4 separate regions of the Mus musculus genome follow, and all the other regions are reported to be linked to region 2. Evidence: microRNA targets listed by miRTarBase, many of them from high-throughput screens and not tested one by one. Region 2 holds a microRNA gene; each other region holds the end of a gene's coding sequence.
The links. The annotated mature microRNA mmu-miR-5135 reads AGGUCUAGGUGGCAAGGGCGUCCU and lies in region 2 at 1,890-1,913, opposite strand. An mRNA with a match to its seed (bases 2 to 7 or 8) in the 3' UTR can be bound and repressed. Matches are read on the target gene's strand: a 7mer-m8 pairs with bases 2 to 8, a 7mer-A1 pairs with bases 2 to 7 and ends in A, and an 8mer does both.

Region 1: miRTarBase lists Rbak as a target of mmu-miR-5135. Seed matches in the 3' UTR shown: 7mer-A1 at 2,443-2,449.
Region 3: miRTarBase lists Dll3 as a target of mmu-miR-5135. Seed matches in the 3' UTR shown: 7mer-A1 at 777-783.
Region 4: miRTarBase lists Tspyl1 as a target of mmu-miR-5135. Seed matches in the 3' UTR shown: 7mer-A1 at 1,764-1,770.

What each region holds. Positions count from the first base shown.
Region 1 is chr5:143,170,616-143,173,732 of GRCm38, forward strand. Rbak (RB-associated KRAB zinc finger) reads right to left here. Exons shown (of 5, transcript NM_001045482.2): 5 at 1,571-3,117. The coding sequence ends at 2,546. Among named protein-coding and RNA genes, the nearest start is that of Rbakdn, 6.4 kb to the left of the region's middle.
Region 2 is chr12:76,531,254-76,534,370 of GRCm38, forward strand. It overlaps Mir5135 (microRNA 5135), which reads right to left and starts at 1,959; the gene lies at 1,881-1,959. Plekhg3 (pleckstrin homology domain containing, family G (with RhoGef domain) member 3) reads left to right here and starts at 2,307. Exons shown (of 19, transcript NM_153804.4): 1 at 2,307-2,565.
Region 3 is chr7:28,291,295-28,294,411 of GRCm38, reverse strand. Dll3 (delta like canonical Notch ligand 3) reads left to right here. Exons shown (of 9, transcript NM_007866.2): 7 at 1-68; 8 at 287-371; 9 at 486-857. The coding sequence ends at 491. Among named protein-coding and RNA genes, the nearest start is that of Selenov, 1.7 kb to the right of the region's middle.
Region 4 is chr10:34,282,799-34,285,915 of GRCm38, forward strand. It overlaps Tspyl1 (testis-specific protein, Y-encoded-like 1), which reads left to right. Exons shown (of 1, transcript NM_009433.3): 1 at 1-2,087. The coding sequence ends at 622. All of the region lies in intron 1 of Gm26564 (a long non-coding RNA gene), which reads right to left. Among named protein-coding and RNA genes, the nearest start is that of Tspyl1, 2.2 kb to the left of the region's middle.

The DNA.
Region 1 (3,117 bases), not on the chromosome of region 2:
GCCCTACTGTGTGGCCACATTTTGTTTTTTCCTAGACATAATTCTTGAAAATGTATTTTTCCTTAGACACTTGAGGAGTATTTTAAATGGGCATTGCTCTCAAAATAATTTATGCTTTTTTTTTTCTCTTGAAACCTCCAGTGTTATAAAATGACCTTGTAATGCAAGGCCCTTGTTCAGCTTCCTCATTATTTCTAACTCTAATCTGAATATCCCCTGGACTGGCCAGGGCTCCCTGTCCAGCGTCACGGAAGAGCACTAGTGGTAGGCCATGTTTTAGTAAGTGTCAATATTACACCGTTCTGCGTGGCGCCCAGAGTAGCCTAGTTAGACTTTTTGTCTAACCAAGGGGGTTCTTCTCCATACTTCGCTAAGTTTTTCACATGAGTTTTCTTCCTGTGACTGTTAAGATATTCAGCTCTCTCTATTCCTGGAGTGGGTTGGGTCTGGTTGACCACTATTTATGCAACAAGCATCTGCATCTGGTTCATCTGGGGTCAGGCCCCATAACCTCTATAACCAAGTTATGGTAGAGTCTCCTAACCTCAAACCTGACTTTCTGTAGTCTTAGTTATCTGTGGGATGGGCTGCTAATCACAGTGCAAACAAACTAAGTGGACACAGATTAACAATACCTGGGGAGAGGAGTATTGGAAATTAAACGCAGCCTCATGCCATCTAGGCAAGGGCCTTCCTACGGAACCTATCCTCAGCCCTCAACTCCTGAGGTGTAAGTCGACATCATTGCTGATGAAATCTCACCGGAGTGTCAGGAATTCCACACTGCATTCACGACTTGTCCACCGCTAAGCAGCCGTCTCAGCGACAACCTTAAAGTGCTGCAGAACCATAGTACTCATGGTTTGGGACTATTTCGCTTCAGGTATTGACCAGGGGGTCTTGGGACGCATCTATTGTGGGCAATGAGAGGCGACTGGACTGGCAATCAGAAGAGGATCATGAGTATCGATTTAAACTCCTTGCTCGGGATTCTCACATGGAGAAACGGTAGGTAGCCAAACTCTTTTAGCAAGGGATTATGCCAAAAAGTATCAACCAGAAAATGTCTGGTAGATGAATACTGTGTTCTAAAGCCCTGGAAATAGGAGGCAAGAAACAGAAACGACAACATATTTATAGTAATACACTCTTCTAGTGAAATGGACACAAGCAACCCCGAGTTACGTATGCATATGTGGTTTGGGTAGGAATGGCCACCATAGGCTCATAGATTTGGATCTTGGGTCATTAGGAAGTGGCACCAGGTATGACCTTGCTGGAATAGGTGTTGCCTTGCTAGAGGAAGTGTGTGACTAGGGGGTAGATTTGGGTTTTCAAATACTCAAGTCAGGCCCAGTCTCTCTCTCCCTGCTGCCTGTGGATCATGATGTGGCACTCAGCTACCTCTCCAGCATCGTGTCTGCCTACATGCCGCCATGATGCTCCCCACCATCACAGTGCACTAAACCTCGGGGCTGGAGTTCAGAGCAGCCCCAATGAAATGTTTTCCCTTCCAAGAATTCCCATGGCCATAGCGCCTCTTCACAGCAACACAACACATAAACAGCATGGTTTATCAAAATAGTATTTAAAAAATTTTTTTGCTCAATTCCAGTTGAAAATATTTTTACAAAAACCACTCTACGGGTAAGCACCGACATAGAAAGCTATGTACTTCCCTATCAGCTAGCACATCCCACCCATGTACCCACTGTAACAGTCATTTTAATCCTTGCTGACATGTTCTCACAAATGATTCAAAGCCGAGATTGCGAAACATTGCATAGAGACTGTTCAATTGCGTGTCTAGAACAGCAGAAGTGCCGTGTTTCAGTCACCCTCATGCTCAACTGCTGGCTTCATGACTTCATTTTATAAGTTTATTCGGAACTCATAGCTTCTTGCATCTTTTCCATGAACACCCGTGGTAACGTCGGTCAGAAATATGGCTTTTAGTGTGCGTTTCCAAGGCGAGTTATACTCAGGAGCTGACAGCTCACAGCAGAACTCCCTGATATGTAAATACGATTTAAATAAAAATAAATATTAAATACTTTCAAAGGTTCACTCCTGTAAAGATGACCTAGTGTCCCATAAGTCATACGGTCATGGGTTGCTTCACAGATTCCTCTCTGAAAGCTCAAGTTAAAATGGACTTTGTTTTAGGACTCCACACTCAAGAGCGTGGATGCTCAGCTCGTGAATCTTGCAGAATGTCTATAGCATGCAAAAGGCCCAGAATCCCAGCACCACATATATTGAAAATTGGGGGGGGGGGTTGAGGGGGGTCCACCCTTGACTACCTGTTGGACTTCCAATGTTCACTATAACCAAATGCTTTTCTTAAGAACTGAGATGTCACTGGGCAGTGGTGGTGCACACACCTTTAATCCCAGCACTCGGGAGGCAGAGGCAGGCGGATTTCTGAGTTCGAGGCCAGCCTGGTCTACAGAATGAGTTCCAGGACAGCCAGGGCTACACAGAGAAACCCTGTTTCAAAAAAACCAAAACCAAAACCAAAAAAAAATTTAAAAACCTTGGCATGTCAGAGCTTTTCTACAGTGAGTACATTTACAGTGCCTCTTTTATGAATTCTCTGATGGCTATTGAAGGCTGATCTGTGGTGGAATTTTTTCCCACATTCGTTACATTCATAAGGTTTCTCTCCTGAATGAGTCCGGTAATGCACGGTGAGGTACGACTTCTGAGAAAAGACTTTCCCACACTCGTTGCACTCATACGGCTTCTCTCCTGAATGGCTTCGGTAGTGTACGGTGAGGTTCGACATCCGCGAGAACACTTTCCCACACTTGCTGCACTCGTAGGGCTTCTCTCCCGAATGGATCCGGTGATGGATAGTGAGATACGACTTCTGAGAGAAGAACTTCCCACATTCGTAACACTCGTACGGCTTCTCGCCGGTGTGGACCCTTTGATGTCTGAAGAGGGATGAGTTATGAGAGAAGGTCTTCCCACATTCACTGCACCCGAAGGGCTTCTCTTCGGAATGACCTCTGTAGTGCACAGTGTAGCATGACGAATCCGAGAAGGACTTTCCGCATATATTACACTCGTAAGTTTTCTCCCCTTCAGGGACGGACTGGTGCCTATGGAAGG
Region 2 (3,117 bases):
TGACTCTTGGAGGCTTGGAGGTAGGAAACTGATTTTTTATAAAATCTTGCTTGTTTCATCTGGCTCCAGCATGGCCTTATTGAATGCTTCTTACAAGTTCTGCATAGTAAGATTACAATCTTTTCAGGAAATGGGCATATAAATTAAAGCAATTAGAAACAACTCGAGGCTTTAGAATCAAGTTCAGAATGGACTAACAAGTGTCTAGAAGGAAGTGGAGAAAGAGCTGGCTGGCTAAATGCAGTTTTCCCTGTGGGTAGAAACTCCCAGCTCTACCACCCACTAGCAGTATGACCAAGCCTCAGTTTCTCCTGTAACCGCAATTGTTCTTGTAAAATGCTCAAAGGTTAACACAGTAAGCACTCCAGTGTCGCCCCCTCAGACTACGCCCCTTGATGCAATTGATCTTGGCCAGACTGCTCCATCCTTAGAGCCTCAGTATTCTTCCTGCAAAATGGGAGTAAGTGTATTCCTGCCTTAGTGATTATAAAGTGCAGTGCACTTGGTAGCACCATTCCCTAACCATTACTATCATCAACATTTTATTTTTCTTTTCTAGCTAAGGAGCCAGTCATACATTCAAAAGTTTTAAATCTCTGGATTGGGGCTGGGGGACGTCTTTGGAAGTTGGGAGTTTAAGATTAGTAGGAAAGGACTGGTAAGATTTAACAGATTAGAGAAGAAACCAGAAACCCAGAAAGTTCGAGGTGGGAAGGAGTGGGGCTTCTCCCTTTCCCATCCCACCCCGTAGTTTTATCTCTCTCCCCCGTTCCCGGGTAATCTTGTTTCTCACCAGTGCTGTCCTCTAGTCTGCCGCTCTTCAAGCCTAACCTGTGGACTAAGTAACGTGAGCCTTACTTTCTGGCCCTCCCGCAGTCAGGAGCAAGGACTACTTTAATCTTTACTCTTCCCAGGGATCCCGTTTCAAAGTCACCTGAAAGCCATTTCCTCTCTCTCTGCCCCGCCCCTCCCCGTAAATCACTAGGTGCTTGCTTTTCCCTGGGGCAGCTTTTTTTTTTTTTTTTTTTGAGGGCAGTGGTGGAGGAGGGGATTTTATAAGCTATTTAGGATTTTCACTTGTCTACACTTGGCGGTCTAAATGCTGAGTTACTGGGGTCGATTCTCCATTCCTGTTCCAAGAACCTGGTGCCATCGTTTAACGCAGGAGTCCTACTTCTTCTGTGATCTCACACTGGGCTCCCATCTCCTACCCCTCTTCATGGTGCGTACTGGGGACAGCATCTAATGCTACCTCCCCTAAGATCTTTACCAATGAAAGATTTATTCTTAGTGAGGTGTAGTAGCGCACACCTATAATTCTAGCACTCTGGGGGATCACTCAAGAGTTCTGGGCTAGCTTGGGCTACAAAGTGTGGGCCTGTTTCAAATCAAAAAATAAAATAAAAACAATAATTAGGGCGTGGTGGTGCACACCAGTAATCCCAGCACTCCGGAGATAGAGGGTGGAGAACCATTACTCTCAAGATTACCCTCTGCCAGTCTCAGATAATTGAAATCCTGCTTCAAAAACAAAAACCACACAAAAGATTTATGTTCTTGCTCAAAATCTAACTGGTTTGTATTCTATGTGCTTGTGCTAATCATCCCCCAATTTTCCCATCCCCTAATTTCCCGGTACATGCCTTTTGTTGATAGATCGCACTCAAAATGGGGTCCACTGACATTCAGGTTCCTCGATCAGTTTTTCTCATTAACAGTCCCACTGAGCGCCGCGCCCCGCCCCGCCCCAAGTTATGCGCTTCTTATCTCTTTCTCCTCAGAAGGTAAGATTTTACAACTGTAAAGAGCCACCGAAACCTAGTTTCGGCGAGGAATTCGAGACGTGCCTTTCTGACTCAGCGGTCGTGGTGACCTGCTCCAGTAGGACCAGGACGCCCTTGCCACCTAGACCTGCGCTTCTCCTGGGAAAGTCTAGGTGGCTGGGCTCCGAGTCCTCTCTGGTCGGAACCTGGTCTGGAGGCTTTCGTTGCCCTCTCGGCGTGATATCAGGGCGGTGGCACTAGAGTAACCCCACCACGTGCGCCTTGGGATCCCAGAGTTCCAGGTGGCAAGGGGAGGCGGCCAGCGGGACCCACACGGCGGGCCACGCGCGTTAATCATTAGCCACGGCGGCCGCTGTCTACAGCGGGAGCCACAGCTCGCTCGCACCGCCGCGAAGGTTCCCCCGGGCCCCCCAGAGCCGCCAATTGCTGGATCGCAGCCGCGAGCGCAGTCTCCACCCACTGGAAACATTCCTGGTCCGCCCCTCCCTGGCTCCCTCCCTCTCCCTCTCTCTCTCCCTCCCTCCCTCCCGCCGCAGCCTGGACTCCGGCCGCAACTTCCTGCCCGGTGCTGGGGAACCGTGCGCATTTCGGGGGTCCCCCGGCGTCTGGTGCTCGCAGCGAGCAGAGGCTGGGACCGCGGGGCGGCCAGCCGTGGGCGGGAGCGGCCGGCGGCCTCTGCCGCTTCCGAGAGCGACTTTCAAACTCGAGCCCGCTTCGCGGCGCCACCTGGGCAGCCCCGCGCGCCTGGCGCGTCGCGAGCCGGCGGGGCGGCCACCGCTTGGTGAGTGTCCCTAGGTTTGCCTTTCTCTCTTTGCCCATGCTCGATTGGCTGAGTGGCAGCGCTCTGCGGAGACCCCAGGCTAGCCCTCTGTGGGATGAGGACCTGGCCCCGAGCTGCCTCGGACACACTCGGAGGAGGTTGGGTCGCGGGAAGGTCGTAAGGGGAGTCACTTTTTATCCCCACCCCGGAAACCAAAGCAGCATAGGCTTTGCAGAGTTTGAAATCCGGGCAGCTCTCGACATTCCCGCCACCCCTTCCTTGTGTGCCCTGACGCCCGTGGGCTAGTGCTTGCCTGAGACTGTGGGCTCTTCTAGAAGGACTCGCCTCTGGTCCCGCCAGCCCAGGAGTGCGCAGGCACTCAGTCTGTTCTGGGTTGGTGCCACACCGTGCTTCTGGGAATCTCAGCTGCATGTCCAGGAGGATTAGAGTGGGTGTCAGAAGCCAAGTGTCCAGGAGCTGCAAATCTAGAGCCCCTTGATGCTGCCCCTAACAGCCTCTCCTTCACTCCCTTCAACTGGTTTGGTTATTCACACCCTTCTCTCAGACCTTTGA
Region 3 (3,117 bases), not on the chromosome of region 2:
TCGGTCCACACGCTCCCGGATGCACTCAACAACCTGAGGTTACAAGACGGTGCTGGGGATGGCCCCAGGTGAGGGCGACACACCTTGTCACTGCGGCCAATTGACTGGTCTGGTTCTATCGGATTGGACTTTCTTACCCAGGTGTTCTAGCCCTAGCCCTCTTCTGATGGGGTCATTGCAGAATTCTCCCTTGCCAGTCTGCGGTTTCCCTCTTTGATGGGTGTGGGAAATAAAAAAATGAGAATTCGTGGGGTCTGAATTGTCCCCCGTTTCTCTCCTCCCACAGTTCGTCGGCTGACTGGAATCATCCTGAAGATGGAGACTCTAGATCCATTTATGTCATACCAGCCCCTTCCATTTATGCACGAGAGGTATCCTCGACCCACGTTCCCACGTTCCAGGCTTTGGACACTTGGCTCAGTGGCAGCCAGCTCCTCCCACCCTCAATATCTTTTCTAACGCTTCTTTCTCATTTCTTTTTTCAGGCCTGATCCTGCCCCTTCTCTATCTTGTCCCTTCTCTATCATCGCCTGGAGATGGAGCCTGAATGATTTTATTTACTTTGTGGTGTCCAATCTCTACCTCCCCCTACCGACTGGAGACTCTTTGAAAGGGCTTTATTGTACATATTGCTTATTTATAACCTAGTTTTTCTCATCTCCCCAGAGACATCTATAAAGGTTCTTATTTTGCTCAACCACATCAGGCTGAGAACTTTTTATTTTCCCAGGATAGAGTTTCCTCTCTGTAAAAGCCCTGGCCAGCCTAGAACTCTGTAGACCAGGCTGGCCTCGAACTCACAGAGATCCACCTGCTTCTGCCCCCTAAGTGCTGGCATTAAAGGCGTGCACCACTCCAACAGGTGAACTTTGTTTTTGATGTTGAAACTAAGAGAGCTGTCTCATAAGGGGAATAGTAGGTTTTTGTTGTTCTTAAATTGAGACAGCATCTTGTGATAGCTTGGAGCTCATTGTATAAACCAGTAGCTCTCAACTTGTGGGTTGCAACCCCTTCGGGGGTTGAACAACCCTTTCACAGGCGTCACACATCACCGATCCTGCATATCAGATATTTACATTATGATTCATCACAACAGCAAGGTCATAGTTATGGAGTAGTAATGAAATGGTTTTATGGTTGAGGGTCACCACATGAGGAACTGTATTGAAGGGTTGAAACATTAGGAAGGTTGAGAGCCACCTCCTTTCTTCTTTCCTTTCTTTCTTCTTTCCTTTCTTTTCTGTTGTTTTTTTCTTTTTAAACAGGTACTTATATTATATGAGGGCTCTGTCTTCACACACAGCAGAAGAGCACATCAGATCCCATTACAGGTGGTTGTGAGCCACCATGTGGTTGCTGGGAATTGAACTCAGGACCTCTGGAAGAGCAGTCAATGCTCTTAACCGCTGAGCCATCTCTCCAGTTGTGTTGTTTTTCAACACAGGGTTTGTAGCCTTGGCTGCCCTGGAAGCCACTCACTCTGTAGATCTACTGGATTGCCAACCAAGCTAGCATCAAACTGCAGCAGCTTTCCAGCGTCTGCATCTTGCACACTGGGAATTACAGGCAGGCACCACCACGCTGGACTAGGCCTGGTCCTTTGATAGAAGGCTCACTAAAAGTTTTTAGGCTTGTGGTTATGCTGTAGCACAGGTAATTAGATTAAAATATAATTAAAATTAGCCAAGAGATTCTGGCACGATGGCACATGCCTTTAACCCCAGCTCTTGGGAGGCAGGAGCAGTGGTTGTCTGTGAGTTCAAGACAAGCCTTGTCAGAGCGAGTTTCAGGATAGTCAAGGATCCATAATGGGACCCTGTCTCAGAAAGGGGGGGAAAAAAGGCTGAGGCAGGAGGATTGTAAGTTTAAGGCTAGCCTAAGCTATATAGCTGTGTGTCTTTCTCAAAGATAACAGAAAGCAAAACAAAACAAAAAATACGTTTAAAACCCAGCCAACTAGAGAAGGGGATGTGCCAGGGTCCAGGTCAATTCCTAGTCCAAACATCTGTGTGTTCTTCCTGTGGAAGCACCCACTGCACTGACGTCTGGCAACACAGCACGTTAATGGTCACGAAATGTACATTGCATTCTGGGGCCTAGAGTCTTCATGAGGTCTTGGTCAGGCAGATAAAGTTAATAGCCCTCCTGGGGCAGAACTGACACAATGTGGCCCCAGGCTGTCATCACTATCCACGTTATTGTGGATTGGCTGGTCTATGTATGCCCCACCCCCCTTCCAGAAGGATATTCCCTGGCTTAGAAATACTGCCCCAAAGCCACAGGCAGAGGCTGACATCTCTTGAGACATCAACAGGGTTATGTGCATCCTGAGGGTTTTTTTTTGGGGGGGGGGGTGTTGGTTGGTTTTGTTTTTTTTTTTTTGTTTTGTTTTTGTTTTTTTTTTTTTACTTGAGAGTGATTTTAAACTTTTGATCCACTTGCCTCCTGAGTGCTGGAGCTACAATCCTGAGTCAACATAACTGGTTTGTGTGGCACGGGGGACTTGGACCCAGGGCTTTGTGAATGCTATGAAAACTCTATTAACTGAGCCACAACCCCTGTTAAGTCATCCTTCTGTGAGCCTCAGAATGAAGTCTAGTCGGCCTTACATGGTCACTGTCCCTGGCTCCAATCCTTGTCACCTCTGCCTTTTGCCTATACTCCACTTCTCAAACTTGTCCCCTTTCCTGGTGCCAGCTTCCACTTTATCTCCCTAACTCGGGTTCCACAGGATTGGTTGATCCAGGTCTTGTTCTAGGAGCTGGGGATACAGCATGAAGAAGACAGAGTCTCACTTTGACCACTCCCCGGGAGTAAATTGGATTATTTGTGTGGGTTGTCGCTATTTTTCTCCGGACCTCGTATCCTGCAGAGAGGTGCCTCCTTTCTGAATTATATGGGTGCTGGTATTCTCCACTGCACTGACGGTTTTAGGCTGTCACTCTCATACTGGGTGTGACCTCCTATCATGGGCAGGAAGCAAGGAGGGCAGAGATGCATTGTCCCCGGAATCCCCAGCGCTAGGAGGGCGCTTAATGAACTCAACCAGCTAAACGCATGAGTGTCAGGGTGGCAATGGGAAGCTCTAGGCAGAGTTGGCTCCTGCTGGGTGGGGAT
Region 4 (3,117 bases), not on the chromosome of region 2:
GCTGGAGGCCATCCAGCTGGAACTGGACACTGTGAATGCTCAGGCCGACAGGGCCTTCCAACATCTGGAGCAGAAGTTTGGGCGAATGCGACGACACTACCTGGAACGGAGGAACTACATCATTCAGAATATCCCAGGCTTCTGGATGACTGCCTTCCGGAACCACCCTCAGTTGTCCGCCATGATTAGGGGTCGGGATGCAGAGATGTTAAGGTACGTAACCAGTCTGGAGGTGAAGGAACTGAGACACCCTAAGACTGGCTGCAAATTCAAGTTCTTTTTTCGAAGAAACCCCTACTTCAGAAACAAGCTGATTGTCAAGGAATATGAAGTGAGATCATCTGGTCGAGTGGTGTCTCTTTCCACTCCAATCATTTGGCGGAGAGGGCATGAGCCCCAGTCCTTCATTCGCAGAAACCAAGATCTCATTTGCAGCTTCTTCACCTGGTTCTCGGACCACAGCCTTCCAGAATCTGACAGAATCGCTGAGATTATCAAAGAGGATCTGTGGCCAAACCCACTGCAATACTACCTGTGTCGTGAAGGAATCCGTAGACCCCGACGTCGCCCAATAAGGGAGCCAGTGGAGATTCCCAGGCCTTTTGGCTTCCAGTCAGGTTAATCTTTGCATTTGAAAATGCGGCCGGAACTGGTCCCTTCTCACCTGTGCTTGAGCAAATGCAACGGGTATGCAGTGTTTTGATTTCTTTCCTCCTGACTTTTCTGCATCTTCTATCTGGATAGTCTCCACCTCGAGATTAAGACTGGACATGCTTCTGCTTTCCCATGGCCTTCATGCTGTTCTGAATTAGTATCTGCTGGTTCACGGCCCTGGCTTATACCCTTTCTAAGCTCAACAATGAAACTGTATGTTACACTGCCTTTACACTGTTTGGACCCTATTGTTTTCAGTCTTACCTGTTTACTGCCACCTAGATGTCTTGCTTTAACTGGGGGCCCTTCTATTTATCTGTTCATCATGTGGCAACGTGGACACAGAGTTTTTGGACAGTTGCTGAGCCTAAACATTGAAGGAGTGGGCCACTGTCTGTGTGATTTTTTTTTTTTTTTTTTTTGGCACCACTTTCTAGGTTATATCACACTCCATTGTGTTTGCCAGTGCTCCTCACCCTCACTCTCCCACCTTTCTCCTGCTATTTTAAAGAAAAGTAGTTCAGAAACATCTGTAAGGCCAGGAGTCATTTATACTTAGCATTTCCTGAGAAGATACTCTGTAAAAGAGGAAACAACTCTGCCTTGTCTCCTCTCTTACCCACTCCCCAGCCTGGTTAGCAAGCTCTAAAAAGCTTCCAGGGAGACAGCTAGATGGAAACAGCTGAGCCCTTCCTAATATATGGAAGAACTAAAGAAGTTTTGATGGGTACTCTAAGCAGAAAAAGTGAGCTGAAAAGGCTTAGAATCAAAATAAGTCAGATAAAAATTGGGCTGAGAATGAAGACAGGACACAGCTTACACATCTTGGTCAGTCAGTGGTGATGGGAAGAGAACTAATTTCTCAGGAAAAAATATTTTCTCTGAGTGTTGAATGTTGCCTAGATAGTGCTTCTTTAAAGAAGCAGTGCAAGTTTGAGTTATTTTCCTCTCTTTATATGTGATCTGATATAAGTGAAAGTATAATATTTTGCCCATCTTTTACCAATATTTAGTAAAATGCTACTTGTTTCAACTTACTGAAAAAATTTAAACACTTTTGTTTGCATTTATTTGAAACCATTTGGAATATTGTAAGACAACTCACTCTGTAGACCAGGCTGGTCTTGAACTCAGAAATCCGCCTGCCTTTGCCTCCCAAGTGCTGGGATCAAAGGCGTGCGCCACCACTGCCTGGCTAACAGTAGTCTTTATAATACTGAGACTGAATATTCGTAACAGTTTTCGATATTACTCCAAATTCTTAGAAACGGCTTGGATAATTGGTCTTAATCAAATGTGTCAAATTATTGTTTTCATGGAAAAGTAAATATGTGACTTGATTGTCTTGATATAGTTATAAAAGTACTTTGTCAGCACTGTATATTTGTTGCCATTTTTATGCATGATGGTAAATAAAAGCATGGCATCCTGTTAGATGGCTTTTTTTTTTTTTTAATCCCCAACCTGGCCGTAAACTTGCCTTAATGGGTTTGTATAATTGACAAGATTGTTGAATTATTCAATTCCTTAAACGTACACAATTGACATCCCAGAGGTACCAAGAGTAGTTGTTTCTCCTGCTTGAAGAGTAGTTGTTACTGTCATTGTTTTGTTGCTGTAGAAGGTTGACAGTTACAACTGCTTACTGAGATTGCAGATCTTCCCACACAACTTGTGCAGTATCACCATACCTTCACTTCTTCAGGTTCACAATTTCTGTCTCCACATATGATATTTTTCATGTGTTATTCAACTATACTTTTCATAAGCAGACACTTATAAAGTATTTACCATGTAATACTATTTTTATACCTTTTCAGTTGAAAATATTTTCTTAACTTTATCATTAACTTCCATTTGTCGAATAATTCAAAGCCTATTAGGGTAACTTCTCTGCCTTGTATTATTTATGTTTCCCAGTGTGAGATAACCTTTTTAGGGACCCCTGTTGCTGGAAAACACAATTGCTTATTGTGGTGAATTACACTAGTTTTTATTAAGGTGTTCTGCTAGGTCTTGAGAAGGAAAATGGATACATTCCATTCCTTTCAGTGATAAAAAAATCAGACCTGATATGCAAACAATGCCATAATACAGTAAGTAGAGAAAGATATTTCACATTTTCACTTTTACTTCCTTCAGAGTTTAGAAACTTTGTGAAAATAGAGCTAAGGGTATTTTAGTTCTTTAGTGCAGCTACTATATTTTGCACATAGTTGTCAGCAAACTATAGAATGACAAAATGAACCACTTAGATAACAGAAGAAAATGCCCAGAAAGACTTGGAAGTAATGAGAAGAATTATCTTGGTATCTTGCCTTAAAAACCATGATGACAGTTCTTAAAGCATTAGTAAAATTGACATCAGAATTTACAAAGCTATTTGATAAATAGTAAAATTCTCTTTTTAATAATTAGACAAGGTTTAGACATATTTTTAAAAATTGAAGACGAATTTATTAA